3 linked regions of the Drosophila melanogaster genome follow. The protein of the gene in region 1 interacts with the protein of each later gene in a pairwise test. Each region holds a gene or a part of one and is shown in the gene's direction. Other genes may lie near its edges.

Region 1 (7,988 bases):
CCCCCTGGCAGTTGCATGTCACAAACGCTAAAACAACATGCACTTAAAAAAGCCAGGATATCTTCCTCAGTCCCCTGACAACCCCTTCTAATGGACGTCGGTCTGTGTGTGTGTGTGTGTTTGTTTTGTTGAGAAAATAAACAAAATGCTTGTTGATATTTTGTGGCAGCCAATGAAGCAAACAACTTTCTGTCCATCCGTTTGTCTTGTGTGTGTCCATAGCATCCGTTGGCCTGCAGCGGAATCGGTAAAATCAACAAGACCCCGGATCCACAGCAAAATGGGATGGAGCATGGATAGGTTGGTCGCTTCATTCTAAAAGCTGCTTCCATTTGCCGCATAATTGCAAACAAAAGCGGAAAATATGTGTGCCAATCGGTCGAGATCGAGCTCACAGTTCACAGCTCAATTTCAAGTAGAATTCGAGCTGAACAGTGATATCTAATTTCACTTGCCACCTTTATGAACCTCAAGCCTCAAACACTCCGCTCCAAAGTAACCGATGAAGTATTCAAAAATTACATTGTCTCAGGTGGCAATTCACTTGAAGAACAGTGGGATCAAGGCACAGAATAAGCAAATAATATTTAAGTATCATTTATTTACACTCGCATTCTTTAAAAGTCTAGGGAAATTTATATAGAAAAAGATAGTTCTAATGATAAAGCAACCAAATTACTGAAAGGACTTTTCTCAACCCTTGGAAGTTTTGGATATCCCAGGAAACCCAGAAACATTGTACCCACATCAAAGATGTTGAGTCCCCGCCAGATTGAAACCCTTACCAAGTGTTCCACATCCAATTGCCACCATTGTTGGCGACAGATTTTAGCCGCTTGTTAGTGGCTAACAGTGCCGTACACAAATACACACACCGAGAGCTGGGTTAGCATCGAATCCTTGTCACATGCTGGGCTACACCTTGAACCCGGAGACCCGCGTGCGATGGATATTTTTCTGCGGCATTTTCCGATTTTCCCGCTTTTCCAACAAAGCATCGTTTACGGGAGCAACCGCAGCGCCGGCACAAGGTAACCTGCACACACATCCCGACCGTATAAACCATATAAATAAACAAAGCTCTGGCCGTCGTTCATCGTCCGGCGTCCCTACGCACTTTGTCGTGGAGCGAGAAACGAGAGGCAACTGTCGAAACTGTCAGGATGTCAAATAAGCGACAGTGGGTGGCAGACAGCAGGAAGTGCGGTGGCTCCGAGTCCAAACCCAACGCAGTGCAGAGGAGAGTAGTACAGGACCAGAACCAGAACCAGAGGCGGTATCAGGATCAGCAGAAGGACCACAACCACCCTAGGCATATTTATTGGAAATCTGAAACAGCTCGGGTGTCGACACTGCGAGAAATAAGTTACTTCTTTTCACTATAAAACCGATTTTGTATGCTTTGCTTATGTGGGATTCTTCACACAGCTTATTGGCTTAAATTATATAAATGCAGGAATAATTAGTCATTTTTACTTTGTTTATATATTTGCTAAATGTTTTTACTATGAATAATGTCGTTAATTAAGTTTCTTCATAAAATGGATAGTAAAATATTCTTAAAATAATTCTCCAAGTGCTCCTCTTACACCCACTCCAGTGGCGAACACTCCTGACCATGTATCCGTGTCCGGCATCGGGCACGAAGAATTTGTTACATGAAATTGTTAACGGGCTGAAGCCGATGCCTCGACTCGACTGCGTTTGATGCCTTTTGCTGATATATGGCCAACCTTTGACATCCTTTAAACGAGCAACATGATGCTCTAGATTATGGCCAGGAGATTGGCCCGACTTTTCCCCGTTGACTCCTCGGTTTGCCCGGATTGTCTCACTTGGGCGATACGTCAATGTGACAGTTTGATAATTTATTTTGTTCAAATTTTGTTTTTCCTTCGCTGGGGAAAAGAGCGCTTAAATAAGTTATCAACGTGGACCGACGGCCATGTAAATGGCAGCACGTAAATGAATGAAATTATTTTGCAACAAATTAAGGCAAATTTATGCGTCAAGGCGACAGGACAGGGGATTCGAGATGGGTAAGGGAGATGGGATCCTGGAAGCCTTGTAACAGGAAACACAATCCACAGGCGAACAAACAAAAGCGAAAACGGAACAGCACGAGGCGAAACGAAACGAAACGAAACCAACAAACAAACAAACAATGAAACGAAAAACGACAGCCTCGAAGAGTGAAAAGCGACGAGTTTTCCTTCACCGAAATCTGAGCAAGGCTTTGTGCAACAAAGTGAAGAACCCGGCTGCCCCTTTTCCGCATTTACAAATCCCCCCACCCCTTTAACGGGTCTAACTGCGTCCGCTCTGCACTTGTACACATCCTGACATACACATATATATTTTTTATTTCCCAGCCAAGTGAGGCTGGAATCAAATGTCAATAGAGAGTACATTTCATTCGGTCGGGTGACTGGGTTTTTCTGCCCAGCGCCACCCACTTTTCAGTTCCCCGCATTGTAGCTGTCACAGTGTTTGTTTGCGGATTTGAAGCTTTTCCTCTTTGCAACGCGCTTTTTTGCCACGCCTGCCGTTGTCCTTTATCGAAGGAGCGGCTTGAGTATTACGAACTGAATGCAACACCTCGATATTCTCGATACCTTATTTAATCTCATCGGCATTATCAAAATGAATCCACTTATCTGCTTTCATACTTTTTGGAATATTAATATAGTTTCTTGTATTTAAGAAATAAAATGTGTCAATCAATGTATTGCTTTTCTTAAAGAAATTTTTCCAATTTAATTTATATTTTTTTGGGAAATCGTCACCTAGAGCATTTCGAGTTCGTGTGGCCTTCCTCAAGGATCTCTAATCTGCTTTCTGGTTCGGATTCTGGTTTTATTTCCGGGCATCCTCCGATGCTGTCCGCCCCTTTGCCCGCCCACCGACTAGATGCTTTGGACTTGCTTTTTATTTGCACGGAAATGTATAATTTTTCCGAGTCAAATGTAAATACTTTTAGCGTATTTTTGTGGGATTCATCGCCTTGAATTTTTTGTGACTGGGGGCCTGGGGCGTGGCACATGCAAATGACACGCCTGATGCTGCGTAAATAATTTTAGCGCTCTCTCTTTTGGCATAAAATGCTAAATAAACATTTTATTCTTGGCAGAATTCCTTCTTCGAATGTGGGTCAAATGGAGTGTCCATAAAAGGCGCTTTTATCCCAAAACCAGATGCCGAAAATACAGTTTAATTGTATGCATATTGGCTGCGGTTCCGTTTGAGTTGGTGGAAACGTCACGTTTCAACAGCTCAATTTTCGGTTTTGCGATACGCGAAGAAACTTTTGCAATCCAATTAAATTCATCGCAAGTCGAAATCTCGTTTTGACAATTTATGCATCCTTGTGAGACGCCACAGGCATATTTATTCCCATCGATGGCTAGACAATGACGCCTGCGGTCCAATAAATAACCGTCCTTTTGACACAATCGAAATTGGCTCGCAAACAAATTTCTTTTGTCGAGATATCGCCCTTTTTTTTGTGCCCACTCGCACCAGAGGTTAAACACTTAACCCGCGTTGTGGGAAAAATGTGACATCAAATTATGGAACGTAGGCAAATCGCGGCCGTTATCAAAAAATGTAGTAGCCATGGTAGCCAGACTGAAGTCCACGATATGGTTTGATTAAGCGAAGTCGTGGGGTAAATTTACAAGAAAAAAACGAAACGCAAATGAGAGCGTCAAATATATTAAGGCATTTGCATTGGAAGTATTATATTATTTTTCTAATGATCATGATTAAAATGAATTACTGAATTTTTTCCGATATAAGGCTAAGCTAGTTAACATAGATTAAAACATCAAAGCTAACACATCTAGTTCAGTCTGGGCAGAAATAAAACTTAAACGTATAAACATTTTATATATCCCAAAAATAAGAAGTAGAACCTAAAAAAAAAAAACAAACACATTTTGTCTTATAACCATGACGACTAAAAGAACAAGGTTCGATAAAATGAACCTGGGAGTACCCGTTCACTCGGACCCCTATGAAGTGGAAAATGAATCGGCCTCGTCAATAAAAAGAGAAACCGGCGAGAAGGTCATGTCTCATAAGGAGCTAATGGAAAAACTGCATAAGGAGGTGAAGCTCACGACGCCGGACTTCTTCGCCCATGATCCATCCTGCAGCTCGGACGACTCCGAAGATTTCGAATTCCTGGAGACTATCAAAGAGCGAGCCAGACGCATATCCTTCGTACGACGCCGAAAGCTGCACTACACTGAGTTCTCAACGGTCGAGTTGGCCAGGCGTCTGATCCGCGAGGAGTTCACAGAGTCATCGGAGAGTCAACTAAGCGTGGATGATGAACATATCTCCGAGATCGCCGAAGAGGAGTGTCCGCCCTGCGGCACAGACTCCGACGACTTACTTCCGTACTTCCAATACGATCGGGCTACAGACCAATCGATGATTTCCGACGACAGTCTGCCAAAGGAGGATCCCGAGCCCGGATTCCATCCCGCCCATCATTGCTATAATAAGCTTATAAGCCAGACTCCTGATCCGCCGATAGTGTACGTTCCCGCGGAACCAGAACCGCAACCGGAACCGCAACCGGAACCGCCAGTGGAACCGCGACCGGAACCGGAACCAGAACCAGAACCGGAAACAGTACTACCACCAACTGCTCCGGAAGTCATTGATAAAACAGCTCCAGAAGAAGAAAAACACACTAGGGTCCTTGACCGTGGCGAAAATATTGACCTAAAGAATTTGAGCGCCATACAGAAAAACATAAGTTCGAGTGTGAAAAAACATACTGGTCAAAAAACGCGAAATTTATAAACTTAAATTGATTGATGCAATTGATGTATATGGGATCCCATTTCTCATTGTGCATTAGATTAGTGTTGCCTAAATTAAGAAAATGTTTCGTTGGCTGGAAATCAAAATCCAATCCGTATAGCCCAAATGCTGCGAATGTTTTTACTTCATATTCCAGAAGTTATATAAGGCTTTATTTTAATCGTAAAGTCAAATAAACCCATATTCGTAAATGCATACAAGCTAATGTAGACACCAAATAACCGTAATCGCCTCTGATCTCAAATGACTCCATCAACGCTCTCTTTCCCCAGCGCAGCTTTAAAAATATAGTTTTCTCGACCCGGAGACCGCACAATTATTTGGGCCATAAAGGACAAAACCCGCACTAGCGCACACATGAAGGGACGGAGGACATTCAAAGGGATAACTAAGTGTGCACGATAATGACGCCTAACGGGTTCCATTCTTCTCCTTGCTTTTTTTTGCGTGGGTGGATACTAGGAAGATGAGACAATAAGGAGCTAGAAGGACAATGTGCTGAAATTATTTCAAAAGTCTTTGTGTGCGATGAAATTCCGTAAAATACAGCCATTTTGTATTGGCCTTTTAATTTAATAAAATTATTACTCTTAGGGATAATATGGATTGGTTTTAAGTTTACTTTCTGTAATATGTAATTAATATTTAGTTAGTTCAATTCATAAACAAGAATTATGGTATTTTCATTCATCACAATAATTGTCAAGCAAGTGCCGATTTCAATTCTTTTGTTTGTTTTCAGATCTGTATGAGCTCAACTTACATTACAATATTTCATTTATTATCCATACCCATTTTTTTCATTTATGCAAGCCAACATGGCTTTGTAGCCTGTGCGTGTAAATGTTTTTGATTCTTTTAAAATATTTTAATTACGGAAGTTTACACATACTATTTCTTTCTTTTGTTTTCTTTTTTGTGTCGGTCATGTTTTCCCTTTCGATACCGGTCATTGTTTTGTTTAATTTTTGTATACACGTTAAATATGTATAGTGATAAGAATTGTGCAAGTTTTGTTTGAAAAAACTGCCACGTCCGTCGGTAACTCTCTTACCTCCATGAGCTAAAAAACAATTTACAGCCTACACTTTTGAAAACCGAGTCAATTACTCTCCAATTATATTCGATATCGGATAGGCGAAGAGCCACAGTATCTTGTTTTCTCTGGACATGTTAAACCTAACTTAAATTTTAAGAGATGCAATATAAATATAAGTTTAACATCAAATTTAATGCCGATATATAACTTCAAATCTAGCAGTATCTTGTGTGGCACATCACTTTGGTGGTGTAGCAATTAAATTCGTCGGACTTAATAGCGTTTTCATTTAAGTAATCTTCAACAATTTCAACCCAGACGTTCTCGATTTTTGGCCAATTTGGCGTTCCTTTCGGCCATGAAATGGAAATAAATATCACGTCATACGATCTGCAGCAAAATCGTCATTCGCCTAATGAAGACTTTGTTGTCTATGAAGGCTAAAGCTGGAAATGTCTAGACATTCTCGGTTGCTTGAACCCCTCAGCTGTGGATGCAGTCCCAGCTGCTGCCCGTCTGGAGTTAAAAAACAAGTCGAAGAGATTGTAATCCCTACTTTAGTATACTACAGCACTTTTATGACATTTAATTGCCGTTTGCTTTTAGTCCACACACACGCTTCTTTTCTCGAAAGTTTGTTTTTAAAAGGGATACAAGGCTAAATAAGTATTGAAAAGCGAGTGCAGCTGACCTTTCCTTAAATTGACCTTAAATTGAAGCAAGCAATTCTCTATTAAGTGATGTGAAGAGAATCCTGTAACTTGGCACACCTCAAACAAACCAAATTAAAATTAAATGTATTTTAGGTCATCGCAATGTGCTGAAATTAATCTTTAGCATGGCAATTTGGTTAATTTTTTATGGGGCCCACAAAGTGACACGTCATGCCGGCAAATCAAGCGAAGTGGTCTGCAAGTGCCTGGTCCTAATCATCATCCAAACATTGTGGCCAGTCATCGTGACTTATGTCAACCCGTTCAAGTGTGTCCCTGCTAGAGTCCTTGCATGTACATGCCTCGTGTAGCAAGGATACAAAGCAATTGTTCACCGCAATCGGCGGCATTTGGAGTGCTTTAGACTTAATGTGCGTCGAGGGGAGCCAACTGCAATCGGCATTCGTCGATGGCAATCGAAGTTTCTAGCGATAGGTGATCGGTAATCAAGGATGGAATGAGTTCCCATGACTGTTTTGCATTTGAAGTGGCTTCATGTTGCTTTGTTGCTCTAGATAGAACTGCTTAGTAATTCAATTAAATGCCTAATTAATATTAAGTATTTTTGCGGCTTTGTAACACATTTATTTGAATTTACGACTTCCATTTTTTTTAGTTTTTTATTAAATTTATATGTAATGATATCATAAGCGGTAGACCAAATCCCCCAAATGCCACCTTGATTGATTGAGTGATTGATTGACCTTATTTGTAAGCACTCATGGGACAGTTTACCCTTTTGACCAACTGCCATCGAGCGTGAAGCTGTCAAAACGTGGCTATGGAACGGAGCGGACGGTATCCATAAAATATGGCTTAAAGCCAGGCATCACGTGCCATGAGTGTTGACCCCAAAAGAAAACCGAAAATCATAACTCAATGTCGGGCTAACCAAGTGCAAAGCGCGAAATTAGTTTACACTTGAACTCGTACAGTCCGCCCACCTGGTTTTCCTTTTGCACTTTTTCGACTCCACACCCACGGCTTTCCACCAGCTCTCGTCGGCCTTCTTTTTGCTGCAGTGGCAGTTGCAGTGGCAGTGGCAGTCGCAGTCGCAGTCGCATTCGTGTTCATGCATAAACAAAATGGCTGCTGCAACAACCGGAAACTGACAGCAAACGACATTTGCGATATGCATCATATGTCTCCCAGCTTTTCCGCCCGACCCACCCCCTGTTTTTCCGCTGTCATTTTCGTTGATGCGGGGGCTGGGGGGTCGGCTACTTGGCATATTTCTGTCGTGTCATTGTTCCTTGTGCGTCTTTTTGTGCAGCTGCTCCGGCTCATGCCCCTTGTTTTTCCCAGCGAACACCCCTTTTACCCAGCCCAACTCTTCACTGTCTGCGACTGTTAGCCTTGCAGGTGCAATTATGACGGCGGGCATCGCATCGGTGTCTCTG
Region 2 (7,653 bases), on another chromosome or scaffold:
TGAATCACCTGGCGACCGTTCTCGTCCAGACTGACGGCCACACGTTTCAGCGTCTTGTTGCCACAATTGGGGCAAAACACCTTGGTCATGATGCTGGTGGTCTTGTAGCACGCGTAGCAGCGGAGTATATATGTGCGCAACTGCTTGATGATCCGGCCATTGAGGGCGGCCAGGTGGAGATTTAGCTGCTTGAGCACGTTCTGCAGCGCATAATCGGTGGTCATGCAGGCGACGGGCGGCACTTCATCCGTTTCCACTTTGCCCTCGAGCGCTTTCTTGGCCTTCTTGATGTTTGAATGCGTGATCCAGCCATCGTCACCCACATCCTCGTCGAGATTTTGGCTCTGTTTGGCTTCTTGTGGCTCGGATACCTCCTCATCTACTTCGGCCGGCTGGGAAACGAGCAGTTCCGAGAGCTCTTTCTCTTCCTCGGCACTGGGTGCGCATTTGAGCTGCTCGAACAGCTTGTCCAGCTCCTCCTGACTGGGCTCCTGGTCTTGGTCCTCCTCCTTTTCGATGGTCTCGCTGGCAAATGGTTCCTTGCCGGCCAATTGGGCTTCGATGGCGGCTTTAACAGTGTCTGGGGATTCATTTGCCTCCTGCTCATCGCCTTCAGCATCGTCCTCTTCCTGGGAGTAATCATCTTCCTCCTCGGAATCCTCCTCCTCCTCCTCTTCGCCCTCGGGCATGTACCAACCGACCAGTCTCTTGTTATTAGCATCCTGCATCTCCTCGGGTTTATCCTTGGACGCAATGGTCTGCGCCATCACAGGCTCCTGGCGCAGGTGATCAGTGCCCACGTTGTCTGCTTCCAGTTCGTAGGTGAGCGAGATCACTTTCAGATCGATCCCCGAGAGACTCGCGTAGTCACCCGTTTTCTTGGCGAACTCCACGCAGTGTTTAATGCTCTCCGGACGAGGCTCGCGCACCTGGAGGTCGAAGGGCAGAACGCAGAGGCGGCGAATCTGGCGCTTGTTGCGCACTTCGGCCACCACATCCGGCACGGTGAGCACCTGCTCCGCGTATTCCTGTAGGGGATTAGTGGCGGCTTTAGATGGCTCGAATGGGCAAATTGTGCGTGACTTACATTCAGGGGCACGGCGTTTATAAAGGCTGTGGTGTCCGCCACAAGGAACTTGATCTTTTCGCTCGTTTCGGCCATTTTCAGTGCTAATTTTCACATGAAAAACAAAGGACGGCAAAAAATAACAATTTCTGCACGTGTCGCGATTAGTGTGGCTGTAGTGAGCTGTGACCGTTACGTTAGGGTATGCTAAAAATACCAAAAAGTGTTTATGAATTTGTGATTTTAATATTAGTTAATTAAATTTTACATTTTTAAGAGTTAGGCAAAGCTAAATGAATGCGTTCCCTAAAATTTTATTGCTAGCTCTCAATAAAATTGTTAAAATTAATTCATGTTAAAATATATTTCTATGAGATATTATATTATTATCACAGGGAGATATCGGTCCTGACTACTTAGACTTTCGGCCGGACTGTTGGAAAATTACCAAATTTACTTAACAAACTACAAAAAACATCAGTTAAACAAAATATCACTTGACTTAACTTATATTAACATATTTACAGATATGAAAAAATGTAGTAAAATGCCTGGTCTGAGAAATCTATTAATTTGCTGCAGATTTTCAAAAAGCTCATTAGAAGGTCTGCCAGTTTGATCTTCTTGTTTATTTTTTTTTTAACATATTTTCGTATTATCAATACAACTTCTACGAATCAATCACTTAAGCAAGCTATCTTTGCTAATTTTTCAATTTGTAGGCTTGTAAGTGCATTGGATTACATTCAAATTATTTTATTAATTGGCAATGGAATATTCTAGGGTGCTTGCGATATATGGATGCACACTCGCAGCACGGTCACACTGCCCGGCCCATTTAGCTGACAGTTCCATCTCTAGTTTTCAAGCCAAATATGGCGAAGTTTTCATTATCAATTCGTTCAGATAGCAAACTGAATTAGTGAAAGGTGGACGATTTTAAACGGAACGGAGCCAATCCGCCGGATTTTGTGAAAGCCCAACCGAGCGGTACAAGTGTGTTATTCGCTAATAGGCTAATCAATCCAGTGGACACGGTATGTGGGGCCAATGGCAAACCGCCGCCGCAGTGGCTCCCACTGCCGCTCTACCTCCGCAACCGTCGGTTCCGCCACCGTTGCCGGACGCCCCGCCCCCTCCGCCTCCATCGGACGCGACCGCCGGAGCCGGAGCATCAAGCGGTGCCTCTGCACCCATAGTCACGACTGCAGCCGCAGTCACAACGGCCCCTGGATTCAACCCCTATAGCAGCGGCCAGGCGACGGGGGCTGGCAACCCCTATCAACAGTATACGGCCGCCCAGTACGCGGCCATGACACCCGAACAGCAGTACGCACTGCAGCACCACTGGCAACAGTGGCAGACATACCAGGAGGAGTACGCCAAGTGGCATGCCCAGTACGGTGAGCAGGTGGGTCAAATCAATTAGTTATCGACGATCATATTGCTATAGTAGTCTTCCAAATCTTTAGTATAAGCGTGAAATGGCCGCAGCCGCGGCCACAACTACCGCAGTTCAAGGCGTGCCCGCGCCTGTGGTAGCGACTCCTGCAGCAGCACCCGTCCCTGTGGTCGCTCCTCCCGGGCCACAGGCCTATCCTGTCGCACATAACTATTACCAAGGTGTCAGCGCCTCGCCGGCGCAGTCAACTACACCCGTAGCCGTCGCGGGAGCACCGCCACTGCCCGGTAAGATCATGGCCCAGCCGCAGATGTACAACCAGCCGCCGCCGCCACCACAAAAAGGCGGTTACAATCAGCATCCGAATGACATCCAAAGCATGTGGTCAGGACCACCGCCAATGCAACAGCCGCCGCCAAATAGATATGGTGGCGGTCAAATGAACCAGATGAACTACAACATTGCCGGGCAAGACAACCAGGGATTTCCGAATCTCCAGCAGCCGCCGCCAAGTTTGCAGAGACCAACACCGCAACAGCAGCAGCCGCATTTAAACCATATGGACCATGGCCAGTGGGGAAATAATCAACACGGTGTGGGCAATAATAATCGTCCTACCTGGGATACCAGTGGTCCGCCGCCTGATAATACCGGCCAACCCAATCGCTGGAATGGCCCGCCGCCGGCAAATGATGTCAACAATCGCTGGAATGGAACGTCATTTAACAATAACACCAATGATGGCAATCGCCGCTGGGATGGGACTTCAAATCAAGCGCCGTCTGGCGGGGATCAGCAACTAAATCGTTGGATGAGCGAACCACCGCCAAGCCTTCCGAATCCCAATCAGCAGTATCAAAACCAGAATTCCTGGATGAGCGGACCACCACCGAGTATAAGTGATCCGCCACAGGACCATCAGCAGCAAAACAATAGCAGCCAGAATGCCCGCTCGAGTCGCTGGCAAGGAATCAATTCCGACATCGATACACCGCCAATGAGGACTAACAACAAGCCAAATAGCATCCAGAATAGCCGCAATAGTTGGGGTGATGGAGGTGGAGATGGAAACCAAAGCAAGAACCCATTCATTAAGAATCCACAGTCCGATTTTGGCAATTATGGCAACAGTTACAATAGCCAAGATCAAGGTAGTGCAGGAGGAGGCAACTTTGGCGGCTTTGGAGATGATAGTGGAGGCAAGCAAAGCCAGGACAGTTTTGCTGGACGTGGTGGAGGACCCGGCAATAATATTAATAATAACTTTAGTAACAATCGCCGCCAGAACAATCGACGGGATAACAATCGTAACCAGGGATTTTCCGATGAGAGAGGCGGTGGGGATTCTGGTCCAGGCGGCTACAATCCAAATCGTGGCAATTACAATCAGCGCAACAGCTTCAATCAGTCGAATGCGCCCTACAAGCAGTCGCAGCAGAACCGCAATCAACAGCAACCACCCGATTTGGACGAGGCCAGTTTCGATCTGCTGTTCGATCAGTGGGAGCAACAGTTCGAAGAATGGAAGCTGGCCAATGCCAACCATCCGGATCGTGACGAGTATCGACGCTACGAGGAGGAGTTCGAGAAGCAGCGCCGTCGCATCGCCGAGAGAAGGGAGCAGATGCGCCGACGTCGCCAACTGCAGATGGGTGGTTCGGCAGGAGGCTCGACCACAGACATAAGGAAGGAAGCAGCCGCAGGTGCATCCACGACCGCGGAGCAGAAGCCAAATAAGGATCCCTTCGAAGGCCAGGGCCGTTTTGCCGATCAGGGTGACCAGGATCACGGATCGGGTCCCAACTTCGGAAACGGGAACAGACAGTCCGGAAATGCTGGTCATTTTGGAAAAGAGAATCGCCCCTTCGAAAGCGCCGGAGTACCTGCATTCAGAGGCAACCAAGGACCGCCACCGGGGATGCACAACCAGTACCAAACCGCCCAGGAAGCCATCCAGCAGATATTGGACGAACAGCCAGATGAATCCAACCAGGAAATTCCAACCAAGCCGGCGGCATCAAATGAAAATTCATCTGATGTAAAGAAAGCAAAAACGACAGCTTCCCCAGTGGCTCCACCGATTGCACCCGTGGTGCCGCCCGAAGTTAAAGCTCCAGCTGCACCAGTAGTGCCAGATCCGACAGTGGTTCCGCCCACGCAGCCTCCTCCGGTTTCCACAAATTATGGCAAGCGCCGTCAAAGAGCTGCTCCCTCACAAATACCCGCTAAGCAAGTCAAGGAGGAGGAGCCCATATTCACCATTTCCCTGGACGACGACGACGACGATGATGAGGAGAAAGAGGTGGTACAGGACGCACCTAACACGCCCATGGGCAGCATTTTCAAGAAGAACGATGGCATACCCGGTCTGGATTTGGTGGACGATGGCAGTAACAAGAATAATTCGTCCTCAGTCTTCAATGTGGTGCTCAAGGATTCCAGCGAAAAGAAAGCGGCTGATGAAACTGAAAAACAGCCAGGCGACGTGTCCGCCGACAAGAAGGGCGACGAATCTCTAAGCAATGCCCTCAAGGATCCAAATTTCATTAACAATCTCTCCCAGGCGGTGGCCAATGTACAGGAACGCGAGCAGCGCGATCGTCACGAGCAACGCGATGATCAGGAATCGGGTACGGATGGACGTCCATTGTCCTTCGCCGAGTGGCAGCGCAAGAAGAACAGCGGCAACGAAAACAAGTCGCAGGATGCCGGCGACTCGGTGAGCACCAATAACGGTGAGAAACCGGACAATAATGGCCCACCTGGTGGCTTTGGTCCCGGAAACGGACCAGGCGGAGGTCCAGGTTCTGGTCCAGGTCAAAACGATGGATCACGTTTCGATGTCTTTGGACCAAATCAAGTGTCTGGAAATAATTTCATTGACTTAGATAACAATGGTCCACCTGGCTTTGGACCACCGGGCAGGAACTTTGGACCCAACGGTCCAGGACCGCGTGGAAACTTTGGACCCAACTTCGGGCACAACTTTGGACCTAGAGGTCCGGGCGGGCCGTTCATTAGACCAAATGGACCGTTACCGGGTCCGGGTCCGAATTTCGGACCACACTTCAGACCAAATGGCCCCAACTTTGGACCAAACTTTGGGCCCAATTTCGGACCGCGTCCGGGTTCCCGCAACTTCGGGCCTCGCGGACCCGATGGTCCTTTCGGTCCGGGACGTGATGACTTTGGCGGTCCGCCGTTTGGCGGTCCACGACCCCACATGGGACCCAATGGACCAGGTCACAATATGCGCGGCTTTAACGGTGGACCAATCAGTGATAATCCCTTCCGACGCCAAGGCGGCCCACCGGGTCCGGGCTTTGGCAACGATGATCTGGGCGCAGGACCACCGAGAGGACCCAGAAACTTTGGCAACCGCTTTGGAAATCCAGGCGGAGGTGGTGGTGGAGGAGGAGGAGGAGGAAACAACAATCGGAAGAACTGGAATGACGGGTATGTGTCTTCAATCTGTTTTTAACTTTTTCGACTTGATTGAATATCTTTTCACTACGTATACAATAATATCGAAATGTTATATCTTGACAAAAAATTGTGGAACGGGGAAAGATGATTCTTTCCCCTCCCACTATGCTCTGCCAAATTCCAATATCAATTGTCTGATTGTCTGAGGAAGATATGGGAACGTTATCTTCTCAAGAGCACTTGCTATTAGTATTCATTTGGATGGTACAATCTGGAAATATGTTTGTTTTGGGGAAATTCAAGTAGGGCTGCATGCATATCTTTGAAACGTTAAAAAAAAACAACCTTAAACAACATTATCCATTCAGTAAATTCGTTGATTTTGTATTAAGTACAGATGCTATTTGCACTTATAGTTACTGTTTTAAGTGTTTTTATTATGAATAATCAGTCCATTATTATGCCTAATCAATCCATGCGTTGGGGGTTAACCCAAACCCAAAACATTATCAAAAACCTGTGGGCCGTCGAATGATTGTTTGTCCGAATGTACGCAGTACTATCGCCTATCGATGGGCTAACAAATATCTGAAATATCTGATGCAACGTTTTCGAATAAGTAGACAATCTGCTTCCTATGCTTATTTATTCAGCTCTATTCACATTACGCATATCCGTGGGATGCCTTCTCAAACGGCCTGATGTTCAGATAGCCTATAGATATATATATATATATATATATATATATATATCGTTCTCGTTGGGCACTATTCCGCTCGATCCCCCCTCTTACCCACATTTTTGTAACCCTTCACTTTCTCTATCTGTATCTGTATTGATATCATCAAATTTAATTTAGTTAACTTGTCCAGGCCATTTTCTAGTTATCTTTAATGCTGGAATTTCGATTCCAACCCCGTTTTTTTCTTCTTCTCTTCTACTTTTATGCAATACTGATATATAAATACTGAATATAAAAATATAATTAAAACAATCTTACAAACGAACGATAACCAAATCGAATACGAAAACCAACACGCAAATGAATATCTAAACGGTGGTATTGATTGATTGTTGGCGATGTTCCCGATACCTATGCATATATGCATATATCCACCAATCTGTGTCTGATCCATTGTCTGTGCAGCAAGAGAAGGGGGCGGTAGGAAGCTCCAGCAACGGCAGCAGCAGCGCAGGACCTGATCTTTGATCTCTGAACTCTGAACTCTGAACTCTGAACTCTGAACTCTGAACTCTGAACTCTGAACTCTGAACACTCGAATTCGGGATCTGATTAGGCGACAGAGGACAGACTTTGTTTTGGGGGGCGGCTATCCGAGGGAGGGCAGATCGTGAAAACTCCTCGAAAATAAACATACTTAAATATATATAACTAGCTATATATACATGCAGCGTACAGAAGTCAGAGAAAGATCTATAATATTAAGATTATCACGCATACGCATCTGCCACATTCGCAGAAAACGAATAAAAGAGTATAAAAAAAATTAAAAAAAAAAAAAAACGTCATGTATGGATCTAATTTTGTTGCTTCCTTGGTATAAACTATTTTTACTTTCTTCTGCCCTGCAATATCACTTAGAAATAGACCAAGCTCTCACCTAATTATTATATATTATTTGTTCGTTTCAAATCGACGCAGTTATATAAGTAACTTCTTTGCTTTGCAAACAGAAATCTCTCGATTCGAGTACTATGTAATAATTTTATAGCGCGAAATTATTTAAGTCGAATTGTT
Region 3 (7,576 bases), on another chromosome or scaffold:
AACCCCTTTGTCCGCAGAAACCCCCTTCATCAGCGAGGTTCAATGGGATGCTGCGTTGGCAGTCGAAGAAGAAATGAAGAAAGTGCGCATTCAAAGTACGTTTTTGTTTAACAGTCGTTGAGGCTCTTGAGAGACAAAAAGCGTGATCTCTTCAGAGAGTTGCATTATCATGGGCTTCGAGATGTGATTTCAAATCAGGCATTACGAAAACATTTCCCTGATCAAAAAAGAAAAAGACTCGAATGTCCATGCCTATGCACCGAACCGCCATGAGTGAATGTACACCGAGCACGCACACCAAAAATAGAGCATAGATAAAACTCAAATACATATACAGTCTCTATATAAAGGAGGCCCAACCACAATTTCGAGTTCCGAATAGTCGAGCCTGAGACTGCATTTTTGAGCAGACTTGGTTGCATTCAGCGGTTTCCGCTTGTCTGGGACAGTTTTGATGTGGGTACGACAGATATCATGTGGGTCGAAACTGGCCTGAACTCTACATGCATAGATTGGAAAAGAAAAAGCGACGAGGAAAATCAATTTCAATGCTTCATTAGTTGAGTATTTGAAATTTTGAGCCTCTTACGCAGGTTTAGGTGTTGATTTCTATTTTAATAATGGCCTTACGCGCGAGTTTTATGGGATTGATGAGGAATTTTAAGCTATAATCACTAATGACTTGGACTATTTTTAATACGAATGCATTTATAATCAGCTGATAACTTATCAAAGCAGATAAAGTACTTTTTGAGACATAGACTTAGGTTTTATAGTATTTATTATTTATAAAAAATTTCAATTAATATAGTTGCATATTTTCCTTTTTTATTACCAAAATCGATTAAATTCGAAGAGCTTTTTATAAGTTCAGCAATGAAAATAGACTAAAAGTGTCTCATTCACGAGACCCTAATGGAAGGCCTAATTGATTTACATATGTCAGGGGAGCACCCTCACATAAAAGAAATGCGTGGGCAGACACATAAAACCAAAACCCACTCACAAATGAGTCGAGTGGTGAATAATGTCCCATATTCAATTGAGTGCGGAAGAGGCCCTTATAAATCTGTGTGTGAAATATCTTTTATAATAAAAAACAATTTAACTAATAATACCAATTCTAGTTCGTAAGGCTATAAATATTGAACTGAACAGACCAGAGGCTATAACCTATCGACTTCGATAAGATAAATATTTAAAAAGCTGAGACGGAAAAAGTGTTTGCCAAACTCCTTGAAATTCACTTGAGCGCCACGAGGCTCAGTGGGAAATTTGATTTTGGGAGATGGGATGCTTCCCGTGCATGTGATCATGTCTCGAGGGGCTGACACCCGTTTTGACTTTTGTCACCGCCAGTGGCGCCAAAACTAATCAAAGCAACTAGGACCGACGCTAAATCGAAACCACAACTACAATCACTGCGGAATACCAAAATGCAATCAAAATATGCAAGCCACGTCGATCAGGAGAGAGAGAGAGAGTGAGAGAGAGACCGGGGCTATTCTAGAAACCTAACGCGAGTTCAGAACGCTGAATTATGTATACCCTTTAAAGTACTAACAGAGCAGAAAACTTAACTGTTTTATGTGGTCGTTCATTAGTAGTAAAAATGGGATGATTTTATTTTATTCTGCTTTACTGTTATTTCTGTTTTCTGTTTTTATATACTGGCCTCTTGAATATATAACATTCTGATAACATTACAAACGCTCCACTAACATGTCTATATGTCTTGGAAGGGAATTCAAACAACCAATCTCTCTCTTTTTCTTTTTCTCTCTCTCTCTTTTTCTGTCGCCCCGATCAAGTCTTAACGGCAAGTTGCAGCAACAAACATTTTCATTCGTTTTCGCATCGTCGAAGCGTACGGTTCATAGGAGGAACGGAACGAAGCGGGGAACGCGACGGAAACTAGTTGCTGTTTTTTTGTCCGTGTTAAATAATTGACACAAGAAAATTTAGCTACACTTAAGCAAAGTCCGCGAAAAATCTATTAAAAATCGTTCGTCGTTTTGTGTGTGTGACCACGAAAAAAGTGCCCCGATCGGAGGATTTTAATAAATTCAATTAAGGTTCCGTCCCAACGATCGTTTTTCATTGTCTGACGCTCACGCGTGATGTACAAATGAAAAAGTAAAAATTTAAATAAGATCAAAGAAAGAAAGATCACAGTAAAATTTAAAGTGGATTGACTGCACAAGAAAAAGAAAAGTTCCTTACCTCCTAGCCAGAAGTCAAAAGTGAAGCGGAAAACAGAGTGGAGATAACAATTAACGGTTAGTTGTAAAGCTAAAACTACACAATAAACATATCATGAAAAACTTTATAAAACATAAGAAGGGGGGCATTTTATTATTTTGGGTATCAGCATTTACATCACCTTGTTTCGAATCAAACTGATTTTAACATGCATTTGGACCAAACTAACAACGTTTCGAATGTTATCTCTTATGGAAATGGTATTGCTATATTATACCATCATTAATTCCGATTCCACCTGAGATTAGCAATTAATATGAAATTTCATAAACATATATTATATATTCGGATCATGCATTCTATTTACACATTACTTTCCAATTAAACGTTCATTTATTGCCGCGCTTCGATTAGCAACAAAAACAAATCGTTAATTTTCTATATTTTTCCACAGGGGCTTCCATACCAAAGTTCCTTGTTTGTAGAGATCATTGTAATCAGCGCAGATCGAAGCCATATATAAAATGATTTCGCACAGTCCGCCCATATTCAGTCACAGTCCACCCGTTAGTTTTCTGGCGGACTTCATGAGCGGACATCCCCGTCAATCGTTGAAGTAAGTTTACAAAAGTATATAACTCATAAATAAATATAGCCAGCAATTGGACTAATTTAACACAGAATTGCTCTAAGTGAATCCACGAGTTTCGGCAGCCAATCAAAACAAATTAAATAGCCAAACATCATTGAAAGAGTACCAATTCTCAGGTTTTTTCATGTCGAAAGAAAATATTTTTTTAACTTTCTTATCGATTGATAAGGAACTAGAAGCATTTTCTGATGCATCATCTTTTATGAATTTAACAAGTGGTGTACGTGTTAATAAGAGAAACGATATAAATGTCTGATAACCTGAAAAACCATGTGATAGTAAATGAATTAAACTGAGAGATAAAAAATACATAACAGATAAAAATGATTAATACCCTTTTGCATTAGGCGTTCTCTCTGGCGAATATTTAAACAATAATTTTAAACATTCAAATTTAAAACAAATTTCAAAATACCCAAACATAACCCACATTAACAAAATAAACAGACCGGAATGCCGTAATTCCATTTAATGAATATAAGAACTCAGTTGTTTACACAATCCAGAAAAGGAATATTATCGATCTCTCGAGGGCTGCCCATATTGATTCACATGAAACACCTGTTTCAAGTGTCGTCTATGGAAATTTTAACACCTGATCAAAGGCAGGAAACATGTCTTACCCAATACATAGTATTAAAACCTGAGAACTATTCGAAAACACAATGAATGCAGGTACTAAAAATATTCGTGCTAAGGCTCGTTTTTGGTTGACAACAACAGATTGGCAAAATATGAAAAGCAAGCATTCAAGATCAAGGCAAGACAGAATACTGAACCAAAACAAACATTTCGCCGATTCTGAGGTGATCTTTCGCTGGTGGAGCCAACTGAGATTTGAAGATTCGTTCACGAGTCGTGGGGGTGACGCCAAAAATTTGCTTGGCGACAATTTGCGCGTGGCGCTTGACGCAACTTTTTTTCTCAGGGGCACACGAGCAAGCCGAAAATTTGACAAATTGGTAAAGGGAAGAAGGGTAATATCTATATATTATATTTATACAGAGGCGAGAGCAATTGATTGAATTAAAGCAATTTGCCGTGCTTCATTTGCTGCACGCGCTGCATTTTCATCATATTTGTTGAGAGTATTTTATTTTTGGGAATGATAAATATACAATACCGAAAATTCGTATAACTTATATTCGTATATATGAGGACTTCAGCTAAAAATAAATCTATATCTAGAGTATGGCCAAGCAAAACAAACGCTACAAGAACCGGTAAAAAACTAAATAATCAGTTAAGATTAAAGAGGTTCAGTAGATAAAACTGTGGGAGGTAATACATGCGAAAGCCCTACTGCGATCCCTACAACTATGAACATTTCTTATCGGGGCACGTGAGCGGCATGCCTTCAAACAAACCGAGTACTCCAACCAACTCAAGTAACTCAGCTGCTAATGCGTCAACTCACTTGAAATTTCACAGCGTGATTTTACAACAGTTTACCCCACCCAATACCTAGAACTACCCACGTAACTGGGCGGGTCGTCATCGAAAATGATTGAATTCTTTTGGTTGCCAACTCAAGCACTAAATATGCTGATATTGTCTCCAGACAGCGCCAATTAGCCAAAAAAAGTTGATGATAACAGCAGAGCAGACGGAAATGTTCCCATAGCCAGGCCCACGCCGAAAAAGACGTATCAGCATGCCGTCAACATATGTTTAGCATGCAAAAGTCCACGCGAACCCCATTGAACGATCCTTATCAACCATTGACTTTTAGTTTTATGAATGTCTAGCCGAAAAATTATGATAACTACAAATGGGATGTGAACTGTGCCAAATGAGTAAGACCAGCGAGTCTCTCCGACTATACAATTTTAGAAATGACTCACTGAAGAACCCAAACAAATATGCTTCATATTCATACTATACATTTCCCACCCACGGCAAACCCGAATTAAGTGAGGAGGTCGCGCGCAACTCCTCTTATCAGCGATGTTTCTTTATAGACAATATACACGTATCAGTAGGACTACACAAGTACAAGTACAAATACAAGTAGTACATGGGCCTCCGAACAATGAAGGCAGGCATTGAGGCAGTAAAAATTAAAGCCACCACTCTTATCAGGACTGATAAAAGGCAGCTTAATGCGTAGATGCTTGAAATAAAAGACTGATCTTGGGAATTTCTTTTCTGCTTTCCAAACGAAAAAAGAATCACAAAAAATGGTCAAAACAATTGAAAGATGGCTACCATCTGCTGATGTTTAAATATAGAAATTATATTTTCAATTAGTGGTGTTAGAGATATATATTTTAACTGATTGTGATATATTCAACCTTCGATATTCAACCTTTTGATTTTTTGAACGAATTCAACACTCATTTAAAAGGACAGAATAGTAACGAAATTAAGTTATGAAATAAATATTAAATAAATTTATTTTAAGAAACATTTTTATAGTTATTAATTTAAGTTTTGAAATACAAAAATAAACCAATTAAACTTGCATACCTTGTTTCAGCTACAATGACGAGCCCAACAGAGCGTCGCGCTACTGCCGGCCCCAAGTGATAACGCTGGCCTCCAAAGCCATGGTCAACAACGCCTCGGCGGCGGTCCAGGGTCAGGGTCCCAGTCAGCAGAAGGCGGGTGCCACGCCCCTGGGCGTGGGCAGTCGTTCCGGACGGAGTTACCTGGAGCGAATGGCCTCGGCGCCGCTACTCACCAATCAGCCCAAATCCTGTCTCAGCCGCAAATCCTGCCTGCACAAATCCCAGAACACTACAGCCAGTTCCGCAGATCTCTCGCCGACGGACACCGATGTCGCGGACAGTGCCAGTCATAGCTGTATCTGCAGCAAGGATAGTGACAGCAACGGCGAAGTGAGGTGAGTGTGCGGGCGATAAGATTACGTAATGTAGGTAACTCGATACAGCGGCGCCGAAACGATCAAGAAGGCTGTAAATGCCGGCGGACTCAGTCACTTTGACGTCAGGCCTTCAAAGATTATGGCGCCGCACTTATTAAACCACCAACTGAACTAGATGGGAACTTAGTGGTGTGAGAGCCTGGGTAATTGTGGTCAGAATTGGGTGTATCAACCTATAACAGATTCATTAAATAGTAAGATGTCAATTGAGGGGAAATCTTAAGGAAAGTCCGAGAAAGTAACACAAGAAGCTGTAGATGGTTTTCATAGCGCATCTTAACTATGTAGACTGTGGTCAAAAAGAAATCGAAAGCTTATGATTCAAACTTAAATCTTTGAATTTTAATATGGGGAGGATAGGATTTTGGTTCTAAAAATTGGAACGTGAAAAGATCATTTCTTATAAAACTGCGAAAATACCACTTCCGCCATAATATTTTATAAACAAAGATTAATCGTTTATAAGACATTTGCAATAGTTCTAGTAAAAGGAATAAGAAAATCTGTTGGCAGTCGAACAACTTTCCCACAGACGTCATAGCCGAGCACATGTCATTTATTAAATAAGCTGAGAAAGCCAATTGCAGACGGCCGCCAGGCTAAACAAATGCAAAAAGATCATGAAATATACTTGAAAATATATTTTATATATTTTTAAGAGCATGCAATTTCACAAAAACAAAATATAAATTATCTAAATGACTGTAGAAATAAGCCAAAATAAAAACACGCCACTGCATCGCGAGTCGAGAATCTGTATCTCGTATATCTGAGATAAAAAATCTCACATTTTAAGACTCAAATGGGAATAGACTGGTATTTAGTATAGACCCCAACAGCGAGGCGCCATTATTTTCGTTTTCCATTTCCATTTATTCGCTATATATAGGGAAGATACATTATCGATTCATGTGCAGGCCATGAAAATATTTGGGTTATCGATGTCTCGCAGATATTTTGTAAAATTGTATACATATGTATATTTCGCTTTCAACGAGCCCTAGAAATAATTTCCTTTTTGCACTTGAATCTGACATTTTGAGAAATGCCTAAAAATACATATGCCACGAGATAGAGAAAATAATTTATACGTTCATTTGCGTCAAATGCGAACACTATTTCTATTTGGGCTGCGTCTCTAGACAAGAGATCAGGCTTAAAGCTACGCAGCTACTCAAACGAATGCAATTAACCATAATATTATCAATGTAAACCAGACGTGTGCTTGTTGCTGTTGGAGATTTTGTGTACACTTTGCGGTTGCGTATTTTGTATGCCTCGTTTTATCAGTTACGAAATCCACTGGGAAAAAATTAATTTACCAATTCAAATCTTCAGAGTAAATTATAATTCATTTAAGTTAACACAAGAACGTAAAGCAATGCAATAGAAAAATTATTAAGAATTATATTTATTGGAGGCTTGATTTAAGAATTGAAGACCTTATTCATCACCTTCCAAAGCATATCGCATCTGCTCGTCACCCATTTGGCCCCACATTTTACAATGAGTTTTGACAGCCAATGAAAGATCTTTCTTTTGTCTTAATTAGCCTCCCCAAAAATCATCAAGATCAACCACAAAACGAGGCAGACGGTTCACGTCAAGGCCGAAGAATTATTAGCATAGAAGCGTGATCAAGCGAAAGGCGTCATCTCATAAAAGACACAATTTTTTCGGGTGTAATGTAACTAAAAATATTTCAACATTACAAGCCTCGGAATACGAATGCACACAAACGTAAGGTTATATATAGAGATGGGGAGATATGTCTGATGTTCATGCAAAGATCACGTGAATCGATCGGAAAAGTGAGTCTGGGGCACATGGGTCTG

The links. Proteins that work in one complex are often made in the same cells at the same time.
Region 2: the proteins of CG12620 (region 1) and ZAP3 interact in a two-hybrid assay, tested with the Drosophila melanogaster proteins (one large-scale study listed by BioGRID).
Region 3: the proteins of CG12620 (region 1) and Gbs-70E interact in a two-hybrid assay, tested with the Drosophila melanogaster proteins (one large-scale study listed by BioGRID).

Annotation. Positions count from the first base shown.
Region 1 is NT_033779.5:17,083,774-17,091,761, forward strand, and holds CG12620 (uncharacterized protein), read left to right. Parts: upstream 1-3,867; 5' UTR 3,868-3,951; coding exon 3,952-4,815; 3' UTR 4,816-5,413; downstream 5,414-7,988.
Region 2 is NC_004354.4:10,076,757-10,084,409, reverse strand, and holds the start of ZAP3 (ZAP3), read left to right. Parts: upstream 1-1,917; 5' UTR 1,918-2,105; coding exon 2,106-2,477; intron 2,478-2,538; coding exon 2,539-5,924; intron 5,925-7,041; coding exon of another isoform or gene 7,042-7,060; exon of another isoform or gene 7,061-7,404; intron 7,405-7,653. Other genes in the region: CG2972 (uncharacterized protein), read right to left, coding at 1-1,028, 1,088-1,162.
Region 3 is NT_037436.4:14,545,240-14,552,815, reverse strand, and holds the start of Gbs-70E (glycogen binding subunit 70E), read left to right. Parts: upstream 1-1,840; 5' UTR 1,841-2,279; intron 2,280-2,656; 5' UTR 2,657-2,726; coding exon 2,727-2,818; intron 2,819-5,333; coding exon 5,334-5,699; intron 5,700-7,576.